Coturnix japonica: one gene and its partners. The main gene of each other region encodes a partner of the protein of the gene in region 2 in a complex. Links are inferred from orthologs where the notes say so. Each region holds a gene or a part of one and is shown on either strand. Other genes may lie near its edges. The genes, in order: ERCC3, GTF2A1 and POLR2L.

Region 1 (8,148 bases), on a different chromosome or scaffold from region 2:
CCATTCGAAGATGTATTTGTATTTCCGAACCGGACACGAGTTGTACGTAGCGATCAATTAAACACGCTGTAGGGACAACACGCTCCGCCTTCTGTCTTTATTACCACTCCCCGCCTTATTCTCTCCCCGCCTTAGTGCGGATGTGACGCCGAGGTTTCCGTCGGCCGCCATGGGCAGGAAGGAGCGGGGTAAGCGGGGCCGGGAGGAGAGGGGTTGGAGGGGGGCGGCGGGCGGAGAGCGGGCGTGTAACGGCGCGGTGTGCTATAGACAAGAAGAAGGGCAAGAAGCGGCACCACGAGGACGACGAGGAGGAGGAGGATGAGGCTCCCGGGAAGGACTCGCAGGAGGCCGTGCCCTCGGCGGCGGGGAAGCAGGTGGAGGACAGCGGCGCTAAGCTGGACGAGTACGGCGCTAAGGACTATCGGCTGCAGATGCCGCTCAAGGCTGACAGCGCCTCGCGGCCGCTCTGGGTGGTACGTGCGGGGCGGGGGCGGAACGCAACACAGTGATACGTCCCCACCTAAACACGGGAGCCCCCAGCACAACCTTGTAGGAGAATCCTCATCTGGCGTCTCGTTGTGTCGCTGTAGGCTCCTGACGGCCATATCTTCCTGGAAGCCTTTTCTCCTGTTTACAAATACGCCCAGGATTTTCTAGTTGCCATTGCTGAGCCCGTGTGCAGACCGACCCACATCCACGAGTACAAGCTGACCGCATACTCCCTGTACGCTGCCGTCAGTGTGGGCCTGCAGACCAGCGACATCACCGAGTACCTGCAGAAACTCAGCAAGACCGGCGTGCCAGAGGGGATCATCCAGTTCATCAAGGTCAGTCTGCATTGATGTAACACCATCTGACGCTCTGCTCTATCTGCATTACTGCTGTTTTATATACATTTTCTTTTGCTCAATGTTTTACCACCTTACTGTATTCTGTTATAAGAGAGCAGAGACTTTTATCTTACGTTTTCCCTTTCTCTGCTGTATGTAGCTCCATAAATGTTGGTGTGTTCTATTCCTAATGACTGCTGCTGTCTTTTTGCAGCTCTGTACGGTCAGCTATGGGAAGGTGAAGCTGGTGCTGAAACGCAACAGGTAAAAGCTGCTTTTGGCATAGTTGGTGTGAATGAAGAGATCTGCCAAGAACCCTTGAGAGTAGCCCTGCTGAGAAGAACGTCAGGGTCCTGGCAGATGAAAAACATAACGTGAGCCAGCAGCGTGTGTTTGCTGCCTGGAAGGACAGTGATATCCAGGGCTGCAAGAGAAAGGGCTGCATGGATCAAGGGTGACCAGCGGGGTGAGGGGGCCGATTGTCCTTGTAAGGCTCCATCTGAAGCATAACATCCAGGTCTGGAGTCCCAACACAGGGATGACATCAAGCTTTTGAAGAGGGTCCAGAGCAGGGCAACAAAGATATCCATCATAGAATTACCTAGGTTGGAAAAGACCTTGAAGATCATCAAGTCCAACTGCAGCCTAACCAGTACCCTAACTCTAAAAACCCTACACTAAATCATATCCCTAAGTACCACATCTAGACGGCTCTTAAACACAACCAGGGATGGCGATTCAAGCACCTCCCTGGGGAGCCTGGAGCACCTCTCTTCCAAAGACAGGCTGAAGGAGCTGGGCTTTTTTAGTCAGGAGGAGAGAAGGCTGCGGGGAGAGCTCATTACAGCCTTCCAGTGTTTAAAAGGAGTTTATAAGCAGAAGATAAATCAACTTTTTGCATGGGTAGATAGTGGAAGGACAAGGGGGAAAGGTTCTAAGTTGAAGGAGGGAAGATTGTTACATTTGAGTGCTTCTGGGCTGTAGATTTAAGCACGTACTGCTTTTTTCTGTAAGTTATTGTATCAATTAGTTCGTAGAGATGTGGAGTTTTTGTCCTTTTCTTGTAGGTATTTTGTGGAAAGTACCCATCCTGATGTCATCCAGCAGCTTCTGCAAGACCACGTTATTAAAGACTGTCGCCTGAGAAATGCCGAAGGTGAAGAAACGGAGCTCATTACAGAGACATTCACAAGTAAATCAGCGGTACGTGCGGCGTGTCTTAAAAGGATGGAATTCATATGAGATAAGCTGCTCGGTAGCTTGGAATCATTATTGTGCGTTAGTTATGTCAGCAGTTGTTTTCATTCCTGTCAGCCCTGTTAATGAACCCCACTTCAATGAGTGTCCTGGGGAGCATCTCTAGCGAATCTTTTGGTCTTTTCTGTCTTTTTCAGATTTCCAAGTCCAGTGAAAGTGGCTTTGGTCCATCCACGTCACAAGAAGCAGATGTTCAAAACAAGCCGGATGTCCCAGCTGATTTATATGAGTTTTATGAGCAGATGGACAAAGATGAGGAGGAGGAGGAAGAAACACAGACAGTGTCTTTTGAAGTCAAGCAGGCATGAACACCTTTGTTTCTTAGCGTGTGTAGCTTTAGGGGATGTGCCCTGGACTCTAATAGGTGTAAGAGATAATATCTAGTGGTTCCTTGTTTAACGTAAGAGGTCACTGGAAGCCAATAATGTTTCTTTCCTTTTGCCTTCCAAAGTCTTGGGATATTCCTTCCCGGTACAGAGTGAGCAGATTGCAGAACGTTCTTTTCTCTGCCCACAGAGTGCAGTCATTCACAAGTTAGAGAGGTTCCAGAAGCTCAGGGAGGTTCTGTTTGTGCTCGGCTTGATGCTGCTTTGTGCAGGGCTGATGAGGATTCAGTGGAGAGTAAATCTGCTGTTAGTTTCAGAGCTTTTCTTCCTCACAATTGATACTTACAGAGGAAGCTCTTGGTGGCTCTGTTTTCCCAGCTTGAGAAGCCGGAGGTCAGAGCACAGTCCTGACTTGGCCCTCAGAGGAATTTTGTAAGGCCTGTCTTGTTGCTGCATGGTGATTCTAATGATGCTTTTCTGGGGAAGACAGAAGTAATGAAAGGAGAACTTTTATCATAACCAAAGAAGTACTTGAGAACTGGAAACAACTTCTGGTGACTGAATCAACCTGTCATTGTGGAGTAACTGCACTGTCAGGGTATGAAGTTCTTCCCTATTACAGGTGTGCTGCTTTGGCAGGGCTTTCCATGCAGCACACGGGACTTATTGTGTTTGTTATTGAGCTTTTTTTTGTTGCAGGGCTTCAGAGTGTAGTTCAGTCACTGCCAGATGAGAAACACATTTCAGATGAATGTGTCTCACACTTCCATCTGTCAAAATAGCTCTCTGTAGTACGGGCTGTTGTTTCAAATGTTGGAGCAGGTGGGTCGTCACAAAGTTATTGAAACCAACTTCAACTCATGCAGACTTAATGAGCGTGAAATTAAACGTGACTTCATGTAGCACTGCGTAATCAGTAATTGTTAAATGATGTAATAATTCAGATGTGGAGAATTTAGCAGCTGAAGCTTTGTCTCCTCCTCAGGAGATGATTGAAGAACTTCAGAAGCGTTGTATCCATTTGGAGTACCCCTTGCTGGCAGAATATGATTTCAGAAATGATTCTGTGAATCCTGATATTAATATAGATCTGAAACCTACAGCTGTCCTCAGACCCTATCAAGAGAAAAGCCTGAGGAAGATGTTTGGAAATGGACGAGCCAGATCTGGTGTTATTGTCTTGCCATGTGGTAAATTACTGCATTGATTATTTTTTTTAAGGGTTTTCTTCCTTAGAGATTTTGTTCTTTACTTGCCTGCAATAATGTAACTTTTAAATCTGACAGCTGCTTGGGCTTCGAACTGTAATAGGGACTGATCTGGGTACAAGTATGCCAAATCCTGATGGCTTTTAGCAAGTGGGTGATGAGAGCGGTGAGGGTGTTTTGTTTCTCTAGTGGCTGAAGAGTTCCTTAATAGCTGTGATAGATCACCATTAACGTTTTTCTTTGTGCCCTCCTAGTCAGCTCTGCTGATCTTCCAGTGAGATGTAGAACTGCTGGCGCTGGAATCATTTCATCCTTGGGTGAAAACGGGGAGGTGGAGGAACTGGGGGTGCAAGCAAGAAGGTTGAGACAACCCATGGGAAGCATTTAAGGAGGGAGAGAATGGGAGACTGCTTGTGGCAGTGCAGGAGATACGAGGAAGGCCTCAAAGAGTGTGTAAGGGATGATGGAGGAAATTTGAAGCAGGAATGGGAAGACATAAGGACTTGCTACGTGGTATAACGTACACTGCTTGCAGGGGCTGTATGGGGGATGGCCTCTAGTAGAAGCGTTCTGTAGCCACCTGGAATTTATCCCATATTTGAAATGAAGAAAACAGTCTGATTGCTTCAAACTGGCAAAAGCAGCGTTTGTGATGATTTTCTTAAGACAACAGCACGTGGTGGGCAATCCAGTGTGATTTCATATTCCCTCACACAACTGTTGTCCTTCACTCTTTTTCTTTCTATTCCAATGATACCCATAATGAATATTGCTCCTTCCACAGGTGCTGGCAAGTCTCTAGTTGGAGTGACAGCAGCGTGCACTGTCCGCAAGAGGTGTCTGGTCCTTGGTAACTCTGCAGTGTCTGTAGAGCAGTGGAAAGCACAGTTCAAGATGTGGTCCACCATTGATGACAGTCAGATCTGTCGGTTCACCTCTGATGCCAAAGATAAGCCCATTGACTGCTCTATTGCTATCAGCACGTATTCCATGTTGGGACACACGACTAAAAGATCCTGGGAAGCAGAGAGAGTAATGGAGTGGCTTAAAAGTCGAGAGTGGGGCCTTATGATACTCGATGAAGTGCACACTATTCCTGGTAAGTAAATGGTGTGCAGACCCTCATGCTGTATGTACTGTATGTACGTACAGGAGTTAATATGCCATCTTTGGTTTTGAGATGCAATTGCACTGTAGGCTTAGGTGTTACTGTCTATTTCTATTCCATTAAATTTGAATAACAGTAGTAGTAACTGTCCAGAAATAGCTGTTGTAGTTGCAGACTATTGGAAGCAGTGATGTGCTATTAGAGTGTCTGTGCAGTTATCCTGGCAGTGTGTACCACCCAGCTCTTCTTTGCTGCTGTCATGTTTTAACTTGAATATAATTTGGTCTCTACTGGAAATGATGGATTTCTGGGGTAGACTTTGATGAACCAAGCAGCACGTTGCTGGTGCAGCTCTTTCACTTTTATTCATTTCATAAAAATTAAGGTAACAGGATTTGAAACAATACAAAAGATAAATGTTAGAAATTAATATTAGTCCTGAATGTGGCAAAGTCAGCCAAGAGTTCTTGTGTTAGCATCTTTTGATGAAATACAACATGGCTAAGATAAGTCTCTCTCTATTACTTTTCTTCTTGGGAAGCAGGAAGTAATACAAATGCAAAAGGGTTTTTTAGAGTACATTAAAGGTGCAAACTAAAGCTGACATCAATGTGAAGTTTTGCCGTGACACAGAATACTGTTAGAAGTGTATGTAAAATGGGGTGATAATTCCTAAGACCATTCTTGCTTTGTGTTTAGGAGTTAATGATTGATTTTTTTAACTTGTAAGATTGCAGTGCTTGTATTCTAAACCCGTTCGGGAAAGTAAACAGAAAGTGTGTCTTGTGTTTCTCAGCAAAAATGTTCAGACGTGTGCTCACTATTGTACAAGCTCATTGTAAGCTGGGACTGACTGCCACCCTGGTCAGAGAAGATGATAAAATTGTTGATCTGAACTTCCTGATTGGACCAAAGCTCTATGAGGCCAACTGGATGGAGCTGCAGAACAGTGGCTACATTGCTAAAGTCCAATGTGCTGAGGTGATGTTCTGCTTTTCAGTACTACTGGTGTATATTTAACATGCTTATAGCTTTAATTTTTTAATATAGATTTAATTTCCAGTGGAATTAAGTGGATAACTGGGATTTACTCTGTGTAAATTGTCTAATTCTAGGTTTGGTGCCCAATGTCACCTGAATTTTACAGAGAATACGTAGCCATCAAAACAAAGAAGCGGATACTGCTGTACACCATGAACCCAAATAAGTTTCGAGCTTGCCAGTTCCTGATTAAGTTTCACGAGAGACGGAATGATAAAATCATTGTTTTTGCTGACAATGTGTTTGCACTGAAGGAGTACGCCATCAGACTTGGGAAGTAAGTGTTCAGTGCTAACGATGATGCTGTTGCTTTCCTCCTTCCTGGAAAATCAACTTGTGATCTTACAGATCTTAGTAACCTCTAGACATTAGTTGTAATACTTCAACTACAATTCTCACATGAGAGGAGCTCAGGAAACTACTCTTTGAATGGATTTTATAGGCACTGGAACATTAATTCCACTGTAGAACTGTTTGAAAAGAATCTCTGTTTAGCACTTGGCTCAGAGGGGTTTTCATCTGACTTTCTCCATTTATTGATTTATTACTGAAAGCCACTTGGCAAAACTAGGGAGCCTTTAGAAATCTTTTCAGAGCTATTTCTATAATGGACTGTAGCTTCTCCTGTCTCTCTGTCAGGAATCTTTTCAGATGTGCACTGGGGATCTTTCAGGATCGTCTGCCCTAAATGTCTATACAATTATTGTGACTAGAGTTGACTGAGGGGTTAAACCTCAATGTGTTTGAGTGGCTTGGGAAGGGATGACCAGGGAGAATGTTTGTGAGGATCAAGTCATACAGCAGCTCCTTGGGGAAAATAAGCATAGGAGCTGGCCTTGTGCTTTCTGCGACAAGCTCAAATGATGTGTTGATTACTGGAAGCTGCGGGGCATTTTGACTGTATGATTTCACATCTATTGAATTTTGACAGTACTCAGCACAACTGCTAACAAATCTTTCTGCGCTTTCCGAAATTAGTGATTGCTTTTCACTCTAGTTTAATGGCCACGTTGTTGTGGCTTAGTGTGCATCTCACAGCAGAGCTGGTAGTTCTGGATGAATTCCAACACCCGTGGTCTCTTTCATCATGTTTTAAATCTGTCTGGACAGAGATTAGCTGTAATGATGCCTCTGGAATGTTGCTCGCAGTGTGCAGTGCTCCGCAGAGCAAGAGCCTTTAATAAAGGCACACGCCTGAAAGGGTGCTCGCAAAGTAACCTAACGGTTTGTAAGTATGGGAAATGCTGCAGAAGTACAGCAGGAGAACTGTCTAAAGAAATATTAGGTGCTTGCCTTTCACATTCTTGACTCGGTTCTCCTTCCCACGTGATTTGTATGGATCTCCAGTTTATACAGCTGTAAGAGATAGAAAGAGGAGTTGCAGTGCTAGATGAAAGAGAACATCATAACAGAAAAGCTCTCTAACCGTAGTTTGCCATGGACATGCTCAAAGTTGGCTTTGGGCATAAAAAGGGAACTGCTAGTTTGGGTGTGGCAGGAATTATTGGTTGTTGGATGCTGCAGTAGTAGCCCAGGTTGTGTCTGCCTGGCTGTGCTGGTCGTTGGTTCCACTGCCTGGTTCAAACATGTGGGGCTGGTGGGCTCACCAGTGCAGGGAAACTGGCATTGCCTGGTGACTGCTGCTGCACCAGCTCCTACTCTACCCCATCCCGTTCCCTTGGTACTAGCAGGGAACGGAACATGCACGTGACAGGAATTATTTTGACTTTAACTTTTGAGGCCTCAGAACTCAAATTTATTAAGCCAGTTTTTACTCTGTCCTGAGTCTGCCATCCAGAGTCACGTAGCTCATGCTGTTTTTTCCATTCGAGCTATTAATATGTTTAAATCACCACGTAATGAGCTCCCTGCCATGATATCTTAGTACCTGTTAATAAATGAGACACTGTAAATAGGTTTAATTTGCATGTGTTCTGTTTTTTCCAGACCATACATATATGGTCCTACCGCACAAGGAGAAAGAATGCAAATTCTACAAAACTTCAAGCACAATCCAAAAATCAACACCATTTTCATTTCAAAGGTGAGGATGCGGTGTGTTATTGTACTCATCTTCAGAGTGAACCTTATCTAAGAACATGCTATACACACACATTGGGCATTTGACGTTTTATTTATTTGGACTAGATGATCTTCTAGGTCTTTTCCAACCTTGATAATACTGTGATTCTATTATTGCAACTAATAAAGGTGTCCTTTGTACAAAGCTGTTGTTGGTGATGCATGGAAATAAGATGCTGCTCAGACACCGCTTCTGTTTTGCAGGTGGGTGACACATCCTTTGATCTACCTGAAGCCAATGTTCTGATCCAGATTTCATCCCACGGCGGATCTCGAAGACAGGAGGCTCAAAGACT
Region 2 (8,148 bases):
AGCTGATACCGCACATGAATGCATCGGGCATGGTAAGGAAAGCAGAGGCTTGTACATCTATATGCTGTCATTGTATAAGTTGTTTTGACTGAATAGTGAAAACTAATCTGGTCATCAGATGCTTAAAAGCAGGACATGTTGATAAAACTGTCTGCCTGCTTTCTGAGTTCTGCTTCTGAAATGACAATCTAGAAGTAACCAAGGACTTAGTAACACTGGACTGGACTGGGTGATCTTGGGGGTCTTTTCCAAACTTGGTGATTATCATTATGATTATCATTAATCATTATGATTTCAAGTGTGGTAAGCCTAAACTTTATTTAAATTAGAAATTGGAGTACTCTTGGTGCAAATCTGCATTATGTACTTGTCTCATGCTAATGTAACACTACTGAATGATACAAACATTGTATTTGTTAGATACAGGGAACAGCATCAGCTGTTCCGAAGTCTCAGCTTATAGCAAATGAGAGTTTATTTAGCAACTCAGATCCACCTTTTCTGCTCGTCTTATTTAGATTCTTTAATTTATAGGAGAATATAAAACAGTATGGTCATTTATTCATTTCTCTTAGTTTTTATCTCAAGAGGTTAATTTTGTTTTTGTTTTTTTAAATGCCCTGGCTTAATGAAATATATATACATATTTCATTAATATATATATATATATATTAATCATTATATATATATATATAATATATATATATAAGCATAGATAGATAGATACTTGTTTCTTGAATAATTATAATTATATTATTAATTATTATTATAAATATAATTAATAATAATTAATAATAATGATTATTATTAATAATAATTAAACAATTTAAAACCAGAATGTATTACATTTTAACTACTTTTCTGATAAAACCATGTGAAGCAATGTTTTATGATTAGTCAAGGCATTGGTAACTTTCATAACCTTAGTTCTCCATTACCTGCTGTCCTTGTTATAGAAAAGAATCTGAACTTCATTACTCAAATAGAAAGATGTATTCAGAAGCTGAGAGCATGCTAATGTCTCATGCTAATGTAAAGTATTTTACAACTGTTTCAGTGTAGTTTGTGAATTCTGCAGAAAAACAATTAAACATTTTTTCCCATCTCATTTAACAAAGTTTTGTTGATGGATATTGCAAAAATGAGGTTGTGGGGATTTTAAAACTCAGGTGCTGTCAAAACAAGAAAGAACTGTAAACTGCAGAAGACTACTATTCAATAAATACTTTTTTATAGAACTAAGTTGGAATATTTATGTGTTTCTAATAAGCTTTTAGGTTGGTATTAAATAACGTATCTGACCTCGAATGTCTTGGAGAACGGCAACTAATGAGAATTTATCTATCTGCCTTTGGGATATATGAATGCAGAAAACCACTTTAGAGTTTTGCTTGTTTTTCTGTTATTTTGGAAGTGATATTACTACTATATGGATCAGTCAGTAAGGGGAGATTATATTTCTTATAACCATGATGTTATGTACTTTACCCAGTAATGAAGTTTAAATCCTTTCAGTTGCGGAGGGTAATTTCTCATGGTTCCTCTGTAGTGAGGAAGGGAGGATTTTCAAAAGATAACTGCTGTTAGACACGTGAAGTAGAAAAACCTCTGGAGAAATCTGTCTCCCTATATGAGTCAAGGACTTAATGCAGATTTTTGTGTTTGAAACTATGTGAATTGCATTAAAATTTAATTTCTGTAAGATAGAATCACTACCCACTGAGAGTCCTTGTGACTCTTCTAACCAACTGTCTTGAGAGAAAAAAATAAGTAATTCTATGAGCAGTCAGTATGCTGTGTGTGTATATTCACTTGAAAGAATTGTGTTATTTGGCACTTGAAATGTAGATTAATTGTAGAATGAAGAAAAGTGCAAACCTGATCGCTGCTCCTTGTGAAAACAAGTGAACATAGTCACTGCTGAAGTACCTTATCTTCAAATTTGTGGGCTCATGACTTTAGCTGCTTTGAAAATGTAAAACTGCCTCCTAAGCCATGCAGTATTTTATTAGTAGGTCGGGAGAGGTACATGGTTTCAGGCAGTATGTTGTAACATGAAACAGTGGCAATAATACTTCCTAAAAAGCTTTTCTTGTATTTCAGAGTGCTGCTGCTACTGCAGCTACGTTGGCTCTCCCTACTGGTGTTACTCCTGTTCAGCAGATACTTACAAATTCAGGTAACTCTCTTAACACTGAGGTCATGTGGTGGTTTTGTGGTTGCTTGGGAGAGAGAAATTGTGGATTTTACTTGCTGACGTATATTGTTCATATATCAAAATCAGGGAAAACTAGATCTTGGACTGTTGCTCACCAGTCTTGCAAACCTAACAGATTCTTTGCAGGTCTTCCCTGCTTTTTAGACATGTTCATGAAAACGGACACTACTGGCCCAAAACTGAACACAGTACTCAGGTGCAGCCTCACCAGTGCTGAGTACAGAGGGGCAATCACCTCCCTGTTCCTGCTGCTAACACTATTTCTGATACGCCATTGGCATTCTCGGCCATATGGGCACACTGCTGGGTCATGTTAAGCCAAGTGTGACCAACACCCGCAGATTCATTTCTTCGTGCAGTCTTCCAGCCAGTCTGCCTCAAACCTGTGGAGTTGCTTGGGGTGGTAAAGGAAAACCTGAGAAAGTTTGTTTCCTAGAATCAGTTGCTTTTCTTGCCAGAATAGTTCACTTAGTCTGCTCAGAATCATCTGGAACTTAACCTTCCCGCTGTATGCATCTGAATGTGTAGTGGATACACAGTTGAAACAAAATTGGAATGTGTATCTGTTCTAGAAATTTAAGATCTTCTAATTTCTAAGGAAGAACATCTGTGCTTTAAGAAGACTATTATATTGTTTCTTATGTTATGCTTACTGTTTTCTTTTTCAGTTGCAAATATTTGTAGTATGTTTTCTTTAAGAACAGGGTATGGTAGTCTGCAGAACTGTATTTTCTTCCTTCTTTCAGATTTACTTACCTGTTAGAGTAAAGAGAGCATTCTAGTTTGCACTGAAAGGAGAACAGAAAATAAAATCAATCTTTAGGGAGATGTGTAAAGTTGAGGGTTGTCTAATTTCATTTCTTCTCCTTTATTTGAATAGAAATATAAAGAGTGTATTGGATTATATCTTAGCTCCCCCTTCTCGGAGTGGAAACAAGCTGTAAAGGCAGCTGTAAACATGAGCCTTCAACGTATTTTGTGAAGAATAGGTGTCAAATAATAGAACTATAGGATAATTAAAGAAATAGACATCAGAATGTAGGCATTGTGGAAAAAGGAAGGAGAAACATAATATAAGAACAAACTGGACAGACTCTTCAGAAAGGCAACTAGACATTAAATTCATATAGACAGTTACATACAGAGGGATTTCCTACAATGTGATTATCAAAGGGACAGAAGTCCCACAAGGGAGATGCTATCTGGCTAGGCCTCAGAAATACCACAGCATTGGATAAAACTTTAGTGATGTGGCTACCTGTGCTTCTTGTATTTGTATATACTCATGTGGATGTTGTGTACTTTGACTTCAGCAAGGCTTTTAATGCTCTCTCTTGTAACATCCTCTTAGATAAGCTTTGGAAGTGGGGGACAGACAGGTGCCCAGTGAGGTGGATTGAGAACTGGCTGACTGGCAGAGCTCCGAGGCTTGTCATTGACATAGGGTCTATTTGGAACCCTGTAGCTTGCAGTGTTTCCCAGAGGTCAGACCTGGATTAAGGGATAGAGTGCACCCTCAGCAGGTTTGCTGATAATACAAAGCTGGGAGTAGTGGCTTACATACCAGAAGGCTGTGCTGCCATTCACTGAAACCTGGGCAGGCTGAGGAATTGGGTGGAAAGGAATATTAGGAGGTTCAAGTGCAGAGTCCCACACCTGGGGAGGAATAACAACACATACCAGTAAAGGGTAAGGGGCTGGCTATCTGGAAATTATCTCTGCTGAGAGGAATCTGGGTGTCCTGGTGCAGATTGTTGACCATTAGCCAGCAGATATCGATAGTATCTTGGGGTGCAATAAAAAGAGTGTGGCCAGCTGCTCATGGGGGAGTGTTCTTCCCCCTCTGCTCCATCATGTTGAAGCCAAATGTAGAGTATTGTGTTCAGTCCTTGGGCTTTTCAGTTCAAGAAAGACGGGGAACTTGTGTGGAGAGTCCAGCAGAGAGCCACAGAGATGATGAGGGGCCTTTAGCATCTCCCATATGAGGAAAGGCTGAGTAACCTGGACTTGTTCAGCCTGGAGAAGAGAAGACTGAGAGGGGAATCTTATCGATTCTTACAGGTATCTAATGGGTAGGAATGAAGTGGATTATGCCAGACTCTTTTCAGCAATGCTGAACAAAAGAAAAGAGTTGATGAACATCAATGGGAATACAGTTCCACCTGAATATGAGAAAATCATTGTTTTATTTGAGGGTGGCATAGCACTGGAACAAGCTGCCCAGAGAGGCTGTGGAGTCTCCTTCTCTGCAGATATTCAAAACCTGCCTGGACACTTTCTTGTGCAACCTCCTTTAGCAGAGAGGGTTGCACTAGATGATCTCCAGAAGTGCTTTCCAACCTGTACAGTTCTGTGATTCATTTGTACTCTGCCTGTACAATTTATCTTAGGAACACACCTCGTGTTTTATAAGTAGGAATTAATGTTCGAAATACTGTCTTGCTTTAAAGGTTTAATCTTGGGTTGCATAATTAACAATGATAAATAGCAAACAGCCATATAAATGGTTCCTTTCTGGCACAGCTGCTATGGCATGGTATCTTTTCATGGATGAAAACAGAATACAGTGCTCTTTAATTGTTACAGTTGTTCTTTCAGGAAACAGCTTTCTAAACTAAGCTAATTTTAAATGGTGATATCTGTTCTTTGATTAATTTGGTTTTTATCTTACTACAGGCCAGATCCTCCAAGTAGTTAGAACTGCAAATGGAGCTCAATATATCATTCAGCCACAGCAGCCAGTTGTTCTACAGCAGCAGGTCATACCACAAATGCAGCCTGGTGGCGTACAAGCACCTGTTATACAGCAGGTAAAGAAAAGAAATTAATAGGTACACTTGAAAGTAAAAACCTGAGAGTAGTTATTAAATGGGCTTGCATTTTTTTATTGTCAGATTTAAACAGTATACAAAGACAGAAGTAGTATATTTAGAAAAGGATTGTGTTAAGAATGTTTTCAAGGATGAAATGTTTTGGAATATTGTTTCAAATGTTTTTATTCTTGTAAGATTCAGACTAGTATTGGTTTAAAATTGCTGTTGTGTGGGTCCAATGACAATTATATTATGTGCACAATTTTAGTCAGTATCCTTTCACAAAAGTATTGATCGGTTAAATGACTTTGTGTTGCAGCATATGTAGAGGAAAATGCCTTTAAAAAAACCCAAGCAAGTAATCAAAAACCCAAAGCATATAAACAATCTGCACCAAACCTGGACATTTCATTACTGAATACAGTATGTTGTTTTGCCAGGATTTTTTTTCAGTTACAAGCTCAACTGTGCGTCCAGGTTGTGTAGGCATTGAATTTATTGTTGTGTCACAGTTCTGCAGCTTAAACCTGAATAACAGTCTGTAGCAAATTTCAGGTTAAAGTATTCTGTAAAGAAATTTTAAAAATAATCTCCTATTTGAGTTTAAACGCTACTCTACTGTGCTTGGAATTTGAGAGCAGAAAAACACCAAGTAATTAGAGAAGCTTTGTTATTGAAGATTTAATTACCTGTCTGATGTAGATGGAGTATTAGTAACTTCTTTCTCTAATTAGTCCGAGTCAGATTGATATGCTTAATTGTCTTCTGTAAGTGCTGTGGTAGTCTGGTGTGTTACCAAGCACTATACTATTCCATCAGGTTTTGGCTCCAATTCCTGGAGGGATTCCCCAGCAGACAGGAGTGATTATTCAGCCTCAGCAGATCCTGTTTACAGGAAATAAAACTCAAGTTATACCTACAACAGTGGCTGCCCCTACAACAGCTCAAGCACAGATTCCTGCAGCTGGTCAGCAGCAGCCACAGCAACAACAGGCACAACCACAAGCACCACTTGTTCTCCAAGTTGATGGAGCAGGAGACACATCATCTGAAGAAGAAGAAGATGAGGAAGAAGACTATGATGATGATGAAGAGGAGGACAAAGAAAAAGATGGAGGTGAAGATGGCCAGGTCGAAGAGGTAAAATTAACATCATTGCAGAATGCCTGTATTTCATTTTTAATTTTTTCCCTACAGTACTTAAAGGAAAACTGTAATTCTCCAAGAATGTTACCTTCCCATAATCTCGAATATGTCAGTGCTATCTGTGTACTGTAGTTTCTTTATATCCCATACTGACGTGGTGGAAACTGTTATTATCAAAGCACCTTGAAATGCAGCTGGTGTGGCAGGGGATAACAAAAAAAAAAAAAGTTAATTACGATGAGTGCCTTTTTAAAGACTTCAGCAGTATTATTTCTGGTAGTAAGGAATGGTCAGCCCTGATATCATGAATCCTTCATAAGCAAATGGAAATAATCAGCTCCATTTGGGACAGAGTGCTTTCCAAAGCCAGGTGGTAGGAGGGATGACACAAGGTGGGTGTCAAACACTGAGAGAACAAATAGATGTAGTGGTTTGTCATTTTACTCACTGTTAGATTGCCTTATGTTATACTAGAAGGGGCCTGAGAATTAAATTTGATTATAAAGCATTTTTAAAAGCACAAAAAAGACAAATTTTTGTAGAAGCATTCTCACCATACTGCATGGAATGTAGCGTGTCAGACTTCTGTATTGACAAACACTAATGGTCAGGTGCTTGAGGAAAGCAGTGAGAATGATCTATAAGAAGCATATCTTCTTAGATATACCTTAGAAGAGGTATGAGATTTAAGACAATCCTCTTAAGTACAGGTTGGAAGGTCGTGCAGGGAAGGAGAAATGAGGCTTGCAGTTCAATAGTGATCCTTGTGAATACCCTTGTGGTGTCATTTTGTAATCTTGTGAGACATGCGCAGATCTAAAGAAATAGTAAAGAATAGAGATAATGACACAACTTGGAAGACTTCTGAGGAGGAAAGACCACTTGTAGAAAAAAGACAAAAAACTGAAAGGAATTTTTAAGGAAAGTGAAAATACTTTTATCCGGAGAAGTTATTTTTATCTATCTGTGCATCATCTTAAAATATCTTTTTTCTTCCTCTACGAACTTCCTGCCTGTGTTGAGATCTGTTTCTGTTTGTGCTACATGAGACACAGATAAGTAAGACCTGGAGTTTCTACTTCTAATGGAACCTACAGAGAGATGTGAATAGTGTCTTATTTGCGCTGCTTGGATGCTTTAGGAAAAAAAAAGGGTGCATAAGGATACATTTTTGTGAAGAGACACTGCAAGCACTAGAATTTCTAGAATAAACGAATGAAAGTGGTTCTGGTATGTCACGTTTTCATGTGACATGATGATGAAAGACTGCTGTGCCCATAATCTGTCCTGAACTCTGAAACTGGGCATTAAAATTGGTAGACATCTCCTTAAGGACTGCATCATGGAAGGCAGAAAAGAAATACTCGTATGCCCTCTGCTGGAAAGCTGAATAGTTGACACCTCAAATGCTTATGTAGGACCATGCCAATAGACTGTAGCCTTGTCTGGCATGAATAATCTAAGTATTAGCTATAACTTTACTAAACATTGCAACTTTTCTCATGTGTTTCTTTCAGGAGCCTCTTAACAGTGAAGATGATGTGAGTGATGAGGAAGGACAAGAACTGTTTGATACGGAAAATGTTGTTGTGTGTCAGTACGATAAGGTAAAATATAAAACAATGCAAGTAATCTAAGTTCTCTTATTCCTTCAAGTCATAAATTTTAAGTGATGAAATATCCTTGTGTGATGATCTCCAGTCTCCTCTATGATTACTACTTCTTTTTCCTGTATGTTTGCCCCAAAATACTTCAGCGTATGAACGTTCATCTTGGAATTATTTTATATTTGTCCAAGGGATCTTGGATACTTTTTTTTACTGAGGTAGTAAATTTCCTTTCTTTACCTGTGAGGTGACTTGCACTATGAAGAGTAAGGGTACTTTCTAAAGCAGAAGAAACATTGTTGAATTAAAAAGCTCTACATTGCAAAGAATGACTTGAATAAAAAATCTTCAGTTGTTTCTGCAT
Region 3 (7,142 bases), about 28 Mb from region 2:
ACAGACCCAAGAGTTCAGTTCTGGGGATCACCTATATTGTATGCAGATCACGGGTGAAGAGCAGTGAAGTCTCCAGGCCAGAGAGAACGCACACCTAACCCTGACCAAAAGCAACCCACGAAACACAACAACAACCTCAGCTACCAGCCAACGGCTTCTCACCACACCAACACAAATGTGCAGATCCCACAACTTCTGCCTACAGCCCCAACCACAGCGACAAGGTCAGGAAAGACACAACCTGCCAACACGAGCAACAGGAAGTCGCTGGAACCATAGGAGTATTTTAAGATGAGTTGGGTCACTCGGGGCACTTGGCTGTTTCAATGGGGATTTTTTTTCTGTTGTTTGCTTTTTTATTTAAAACAAGCAGTAATATTTTCCTGTCACATTTTGAGGATGAGAGAAAAGGAAGAAGGATACGCCGCTTAGTCACAAGTTTGGAGTTTCAGTACTCACTGCTAGGAGTGCTGCGGAACAATCGTGCTCGGATGCGTTTTACAGCTTTAAGTTCACTAAAGGAACAAAAGAAAGTTAATACTGAGCCTCAGCCCGACAGCAATGGTGGGACTGAATACTAGTGGCTTTCAAAGGTTTTCGCATTGCAGGAAGAAGGTCTGCACTGCATTAACCAAGAAGCAGGATGTAACTGCAGCGCCTCACAACAAAGCCTCACAGGGCAGAAGCTGTTCCAGAAGCACATCAGAAAACCAGCCTACAGTTCTCCAAGCATTTCAACTCAATCAGCTGTAGACAAGCCTCTTCTGCTACAGCTGAGGAACACCCCTATGGGCTCCCTGACTACTGAAAGCCCAAAGAAGCAGAGCTCTGAGGATTGCTGCTTGCTCCAAGCAGCAGGAGATCAAGAGTGGAATGAGAACTTACAAACACTGTAAGAGAGACCTGTGAGGGATTACCAACTCCTGCAATTCCTTTCCTTCTTCAGAAGGATGCCTAAGGAGACATAAGCCTGCAATTCTTCCAGTTTATATCCCTCTTCAGAAAGATGCTTAGAGTCTTAACTTGACTAAGTACCAAATTGCAACAGCTGGCAGCCCACCTGAAAAGAAGACTTGGAAGGTAGCACAGCAATGATTGAAGCTCACTCCTGACAAGGAAGCAGAAAATGACACCCTAACCAGGGTGAACTACAGCCCCTAAAACACTGCCTGGGAGTATTAACAGCCACATGCACACATCTCCCCTGCCTCCAACAGACTTCTGTGGTTTGGCAAGTGCTCAGACTGAGCAGACCATACATGAAGTCAGGCAAAGAACGTCATCAGCGTGTAGAAATCTCTTCAGGTCACAGATCAAACATCTCACATCTTCTATGATCAAACAAGCTGCAGCCACAATAGAGCTATTAGATTACTAAGATCATCTCCAGCAGTCAAAGCAGGATGTCCAGAAAAGGCAAATTCAAACGCTGTGAAAACAGCAGAGGAAAGTTTCCTTCAAGAGAGATGCAAAGTTGCATGTGAGAACTGGGTGGGAAAGTTAAAACCTGCTTTCGTTTTTAAAAGCTAAACAAGAGCACTTCCTCCGGGCAGCTGCACGAATCCAGCCTACATCAACAATAACCCCCCACCCCACCACCACCATCCTTTCTCCCTCCCATCAGCAAATGTCTGTCTCCAAATACAAACGCCTTGCACGTCACAGTTCAACAAGAAAATTGCTTTGGAGCCCTGGTGCTGAAAACACATCAAAGCATCGTCTCCAAATTCTCAACTTCCCTCCCCCAAAAGAAAAGAAAGCAAAGGAGAAAAAGAAAAGAGAGTTTGGCTCCCACTGGCCTGAAACAACAATAACGATAACAATCTGCAGGAGGTTTCTCCACCCTCCAAGCCAAGCCGTGCTGCTTGCACACAGCTGAGTGCAATCACTCCCCGGGGCTGCAAAAATCGCTGTCTTTTCATTAGGAAACGTTTGCAAAACCTCCTTCAAACAACCTCGCCGGTTAAAACGAAACTATTTGCTCCTCTACAGTTCAAGTTAGGTCTGCGCGGAGGGTCAGCAACCCAGCGGTCCAAAACACAGGCACGAAAGGCGTATTAACATAAGCTGTGCATTAAGACTTTATACGCCTGACAGTAATGGCTCTGCGCCGCGCGCCGTATCAACTCGCAGATGCTCCAGCAGCAAAATACAGTATTTTGGGTGCATCCCCGCTCTGCCCAAGGACAACCGTGAAGCAAGAGGGCACTAAGGACCGACAGCGCTCGGGGTGACGCTTTAACCCAGTCTGTCCCGAACAGCAACGTGCCGCCCTCAAGTTACAAGCATCGCATAGCGCAGCACTCCGCGCGACGCTCACACGGGAGGATCGCACGCGGCTTCACGACGCATCCCCCGCTGCAGCCCAACTTCCCCGGCTGGGGGCAGCCAGTAAAGCTGCAACGCGACGCTCGCGGTGCCACGGCCGCCTCCACCCTCCGGGGAGCGGGATAGCGCCTCAAGGACGGCTTATGCCCCGTTTGCTTTCGCTGCGCGCGGCTCGCCGACAGACCGAGGAACGCTACAGCGGGCAGCCCTGAACCCCCCCACATCACCCCCCACAGCCCCCAGACCCGGAGTTCAGCAACTCCCGACTGACCTGCCGCCGCCACGGGACCGCTAACCTCGCTTACCCCGCTGACCACGGCAGCGCTCCGCAGCCCGGCTTCCTCCAAATGAGCGGGCAACGCCGCGCAAATCGGCGCCGAGCGCAGCTCACGGAGCGCAGCCCCTGCCCGGCTCCTTCCCCTTCCAAAGGGGAGCGAGGACACGGAGCAAACCGCCCCAAATTGGGGACGCCAACACAGCCGCGAGACGGACCGCGCCTGGCGCTACCAGTGCGCGCACCGGGAAGGGAAAGAAAAGGGAGGAAAAGGGAGGGGAGTGCGACGTGCTGCCCCGTCCCACAGCGCTGCCGTGCCCCGCTGGTTGGCGCCGGGCTGCAGCCACCAGTTGCGCTTCCACCCCGCGCGGCTGCGGTACCTCGAGCAGGACGCGATGAAGAAGTGCCTTCTGCAGAAGTCCGGGTGTAAAGCAACAAGTGAGAGCGCGGAAGGAAGGAAGGAGGGAGGGAGGGAAGGGCACGGCGCCTCCTCGGCTCGGCTCAGCCCGCCCCGCCGGTGTCTCCGCTCTGCGCTCCGCCGGCCCCGGCTGCCACCACGCGCCGCGCACGCGAAACGCGATCAGCAGCCCGCCCCGCTCGCAAACACTATTGAGCCGCGCAAGGAGCCGTAGGGCGGCCGCTACCATCCGCCGTCCTGTGCGGGAACGGGGGAGCTCCAGCGCCGCTCTGCATCCTCACGGCTGAGCAAGAACGGCTCGCACCGCCCGTGTCCCCCCGGTGCAGTGGGAGCGGCCGTAGGGCTGCGCTCGGGCAGCTGCAGGAGGAAGCGGCGCTGTGCGAACCATGATCATCCCGGTGCGATGCTTCACGTGCGGCAAGATCGTGGGCAACAAGTGGGAGGCGTATCTCGGGCTCCTGCAGGCGGAGTACACCGAGGGGTGGGTGTCATATTAACAGCACACGCTAATACCTTGCTTTAAACTAAGCTCAGAGCAATCATTGCGTTGCTTAGGAGCACTTACGAGCGGTTCTGACTCGTTTTGTATTTATTTCTTTTAATCGTGTTGTTATTTGTTAATAGAGATGCCCTGGATGCCCTCGGATTGAAGCGCTACTGCTGCCGCAGGATGCTCCTGGCACACGTGGATCTGATTGAGAAGCTGTTGAATTACGCACCGCTGGAGAAATGAGAGTTGATTGACCCAGCCACCAGCTTCTCCCAAGGAAATAAATGAAGGCCGACATCCACTTCACAGCTACAGCTTACATATGTAGATGTTTCTCTTTAATTACATACAGGTTGTTATTGGTTTCTTTTTGTGAACTTTAGGATGCTTTTGCCCGTAAAAAATAAATGTGTTTTATGAAATACAATCATTTGTCTATGTAAAATGTTGAACTAGAGGAAGCCTCTGCCTGTGGCCTTCCTGGAGTTGCTGGGTAGAGTTCAGCATACACTTCCATCTCACTATTTCCTCACAGTGGTCATTTTGAGGTTAGAAATACAGTGTTTGAAGCTAGGGCAATCAAGGGGGGTTAGAAAGAGAGCAAAGTTCCAGGCTCCAGAAACAGCACAGAGGATGTTTGTTTGCTATGAATGAGGCATTACTCTTAGTAGGTTGCAGTGCTAGCGGAGCTCATTTTTTCACTGAAGTCAGCCTATAGTGTCTTGTTAAAAATTGGGGCAGACTGGCAGCTCCATCACAGAAAACAGTAAATCAGGTGGCGCAGTGCTCCTCACTTAGGTAAAATACATCTGAAGGCAATGGATGTGAGAATTAATGCATGTAACTGTGAACAGGATCAGAGTCTTGCCAAACACCTGCACTGCTCTGTTGCTGGTATGAGTGCAAGCTTCCCACTTGTCAGTCATTTCATTGGCTTCATATAGGATGTATGTGCAGCCTGGGACTGCCTGGCCAAAACAACCCACCTTTCCACTGCTTGCTGGATCAGACTTCTCTGCTCAAACCTCAAGAAGAGATTGTCTCAGAAAGAACAGTTAGAGGACAGCCAGCCTCTGGCTATAGCTACTACCCTACCAATCTCTACACTTGATCTAACTTTTCCATTTATTACAATGGGATAGTGGCTAAGTTTTCTCATATTCAGCAGTTCTGCAAAGACACTAAAACCACATACTTCAGCCTAATGCAAAGAGAATTAAGCAACTCTAGTATCCCCTTCAGTTTGCGGGATAGCTTTTGTTCTGTGTGACTGCCATATTACACAACAAAATTCACTTAATAACAACTCTTTCTGGCTGTCTTTAAAAAGGGACACTATGAAATATAAGATGACTGTTTCCAGCTAAAATCCTGTAGGACCTTTCCATGTTACAGCAGAGCATTATGTGGAGATGCATGTAAACTTGCACACAGGAAGCTCCAAATGCCAGGTACTGAGACAGCACAGCAGCCCAGACCGCTGCCTCCAACTGAGGTGGCCAGGCATCAGCACCAAAGGATCAGAGAGCCAACAGAGCTTTGTTTCTTACTCTGAAAGCAAAGCAGATACCAGCACAAGGTTAAGTTAATTGATAAGAAAAGCTGTGACTCTAAAACATTATAACGAAGAAGCAATTTGCAAAAACAAAGCAGGCTTCATCCAGAGTTTCTCAGGAACAAGAAAAGCCAGCTTGGTTGCTCATATTACTGTTTCTCAGACAGAGAAAGTGATGCTGTGGGCGCCAACAACGCCCACTCTGCTATCGCTGTATTAACCAGCTGTTACACAAGGAGCAGCAAACGGCAGCGAGTAGCAGGACTAAGTCACAGCAAGCATTAGTATTCCTCCAAGCAGCAAACAACAACCTGCCTGCATCGCACCTTTTCTAAGCATAATACTGGCCAAAAAGCCATTTCTGTAACGCGGCTGAGCAGCTGCTTCATCGTGTCTGTATTAAAGGTTTTCTCAGGAGTTTTGTCATTGAGATGGTCAGGAGCAGAAGTAGAACTTAAATCCTGATTAAAAAATAAGTGATTTTTTCATTGGATTTCTATAAATCTCAGCTTTCACCTTTGCTTGTTTAGAAACTAGACCTGAAAATCATCATTACAGTCAATGCACAACCCTAAAGCTGTAAGTTTCCATAGAGATGCCTAACTTGCAATGTAGCTGCAAGTCTATGTTAATTGGTAACAAACCACAAGGATCTAAACCACAAGCTGCCTCTTTTCCTGCTAATAGTTCCAGACAAGAGAAGGCAACCTCCACAGAAAGGGAGAAGGAAACCACCACAGTCTATTTGCCTCCAAAACTGCAGCCCAATTCCAAGTGTTTTCTACTTTCAATACTGAACCCAACTAGCACTCGTACTCAGCCCCTTCCCTGAGCAGAATATGAGCTTTAGTTAGACAGCAAGATTTTCTTACTCCTGCCAATGCTCGGATGAAACATCTCCAAAATAACATTGTTCCCTCCTGGCTTTGACCTCCCAGATGATGAGCACAGCTTTAATTTCCAAATTAATTTCCAGCATGTTAGCTTTGTTGTTTACATAGTGGTTTTGTTTTCAGATCCAGTTCTTATTCAGCTTCACTCACCAGCAAGAAAGCATTTTTAATTCTTCAACAGGAACAGCACAATGGAGAGATTTGGAAACCAGGGACCAGAGGCATGTTGGCTTTGCTGTGCTACATGGTTTGATGTGTTGCCCACTGAAGCCTGTGGGAGTCTTCTCATTAATTTCAGTGGGACTTCAAATGGCCTGATAGCATGCAGTGCCTCTGACCACCTAGAGTCCAGGATTAATTTGTTTTATTATGTTCTTCTAAGAAAAGCTGTTGGAGGTACCCAGGACTTGGACACCCAAAGAGCATCCAGACTGTGCTGCAGAACTCAGTTTCCTGTGCCTCAAGTATGTAAGACTGTTGAAAAAAAATAAAGTTAACAAGTTATCCTTGGCTTCAGCAGCTCTGGCCACCTGGGGAGAGCTGCAGGGCAATCGGTTGCGCTTCGGGCTAGTGCTGGAAAACAGTATGGTATTTCCATGGGAGTAGCAAACACTCATTTATTTCTCTCTAACACTCTCATGTAAAAATATATAGGAGATGTAGAGCCAAGTCATGCAGAGAACACTGAGTTTTTGAGCCTCGTTCTTATTTGTACTCCACACCTTTCTGCCATTGTTGGTCACAAGTTTTGGTGACCTACACCTTGTCACATACAGCCAAAGACACGAAGCCCCTGAATCTCCCCACAGTTTCCTTCCTAATGTATCTGCTCACCACAAGACGTGTCAAATATCATGTTTTGTAACAGCCAAGTTAGAAAACTCATGCAGAAAAGTATTTAATTTATCCCTTCCAAATACAAAGCAAGCATTTTATTAAAAAGGGTTCATAATTTTCTGCCTTCAGGAGCTGAACAAATAGCGATCAGCGAAAGGCGTGGAGCAGCTGACAAAGAGCTAAAAGCACATATACTTTGGGGGATGCAAGATACTAGCAGTTAACAACAGACTTCAAAACAAGCCCCAGAGGCTGTGGTCAAGGCTTTCCACAAGTACTAATGATTTTGAATTAACCCAAGTCCCACCGCACAGGTTTGATCTTCGAGATAGGAAGAACAAATGCTC

Evidence for each region.
Region 1: GTF2A1 (region 2) and ERCC3 share a complex: the UniProt entries of both Homo sapiens proteins name them as parts of the TBP-based Pol II pre-initiation complex. The link is inferred for Coturnix japonica from reciprocal best matches to the Homo sapiens genes GTF2A1 and ERCC3.
Region 3: GTF2A1 (region 2) and POLR2L share a complex: the UniProt entries of both Homo sapiens proteins name them as parts of the TBP-based Pol II pre-initiation complex. The link is inferred for Coturnix japonica from reciprocal best matches to the Homo sapiens genes GTF2A1 and POLR2L.

What each region holds. Positions count from the first base shown.
Region 1 is NC_029522.1:23,166,289-23,174,436, reverse strand, and holds the start of ERCC3 (general transcription and DNA repair factor IIH helicase subunit XPB), read left to right. Parts: upstream 1-94; 5' UTR 95-169; coding exon 170-188; intron 189-267; coding exon 268-473; intron 474-590; coding exon 591-827; intron 828-1,044; coding exon 1,045-1,094; intron 1,095-1,897; coding exon 1,898-2,033; intron 2,034-2,224; coding exon 2,225-2,389; intron 2,390-3,398; coding exon 3,399-3,603; intron 3,604-4,405; coding exon 4,406-4,720; intron 4,721-5,068; exon of another isoform or gene 5,069-5,525; coding exon 5,526-5,710; exon of another isoform or gene 5,711-5,844; coding exon 5,845-6,047; exon of another isoform or gene 6,048-7,126; intron 7,127-7,717; coding exon 7,718-7,814; intron 7,815-8,056; coding exon 8,057-8,148. UniProt on the Homo sapiens protein: ATP-dependent 3'-5' DNA helicase/translocase. Binds dsDNA rather than ssDNA, unzipping it in a translocase rather than classical helicase activity. Component of the general transcription and DNA repair factor IIH (TFIIH) core complex.
Region 2 is NC_029520.1:37,061,891-37,070,038, reverse strand, and holds part of GTF2A1 (transcription initiation factor IIA subunit 1), read left to right. Parts: coding exon 1-32; intron 33-2,103; coding exon 2,104-2,179; intron 2,180-4,894; coding exon 4,895-5,028; intron 5,029-5,850; coding exon 5,851-6,171; intron 6,172-7,694; coding exon 7,695-7,784; intron 7,785-8,148. UniProt on the Homo sapiens protein: TFIIA is a component of the transcription machinery of RNA polymerase II and plays an important role in transcriptional activation. TFIIA in a complex with TBP mediates transcriptional activity.
Region 3 is NC_029520.1:8,949,079-8,956,220, reverse strand, and holds POLR2L (DNA-directed RNA polymerases I, II, and III subunit RPABC5), read left to right. Parts: upstream 1-3,323; 5' UTR 3,324-3,406; coding exon 3,407-3,501; intron 3,502-3,644; coding exon 3,645-3,753; 3' UTR 3,754-3,937; downstream 3,938-7,142. UniProt on the Homo sapiens protein: DNA-dependent RNA polymerase catalyzes the transcription of DNA into RNA using the four ribonucleoside triphosphates as substrates.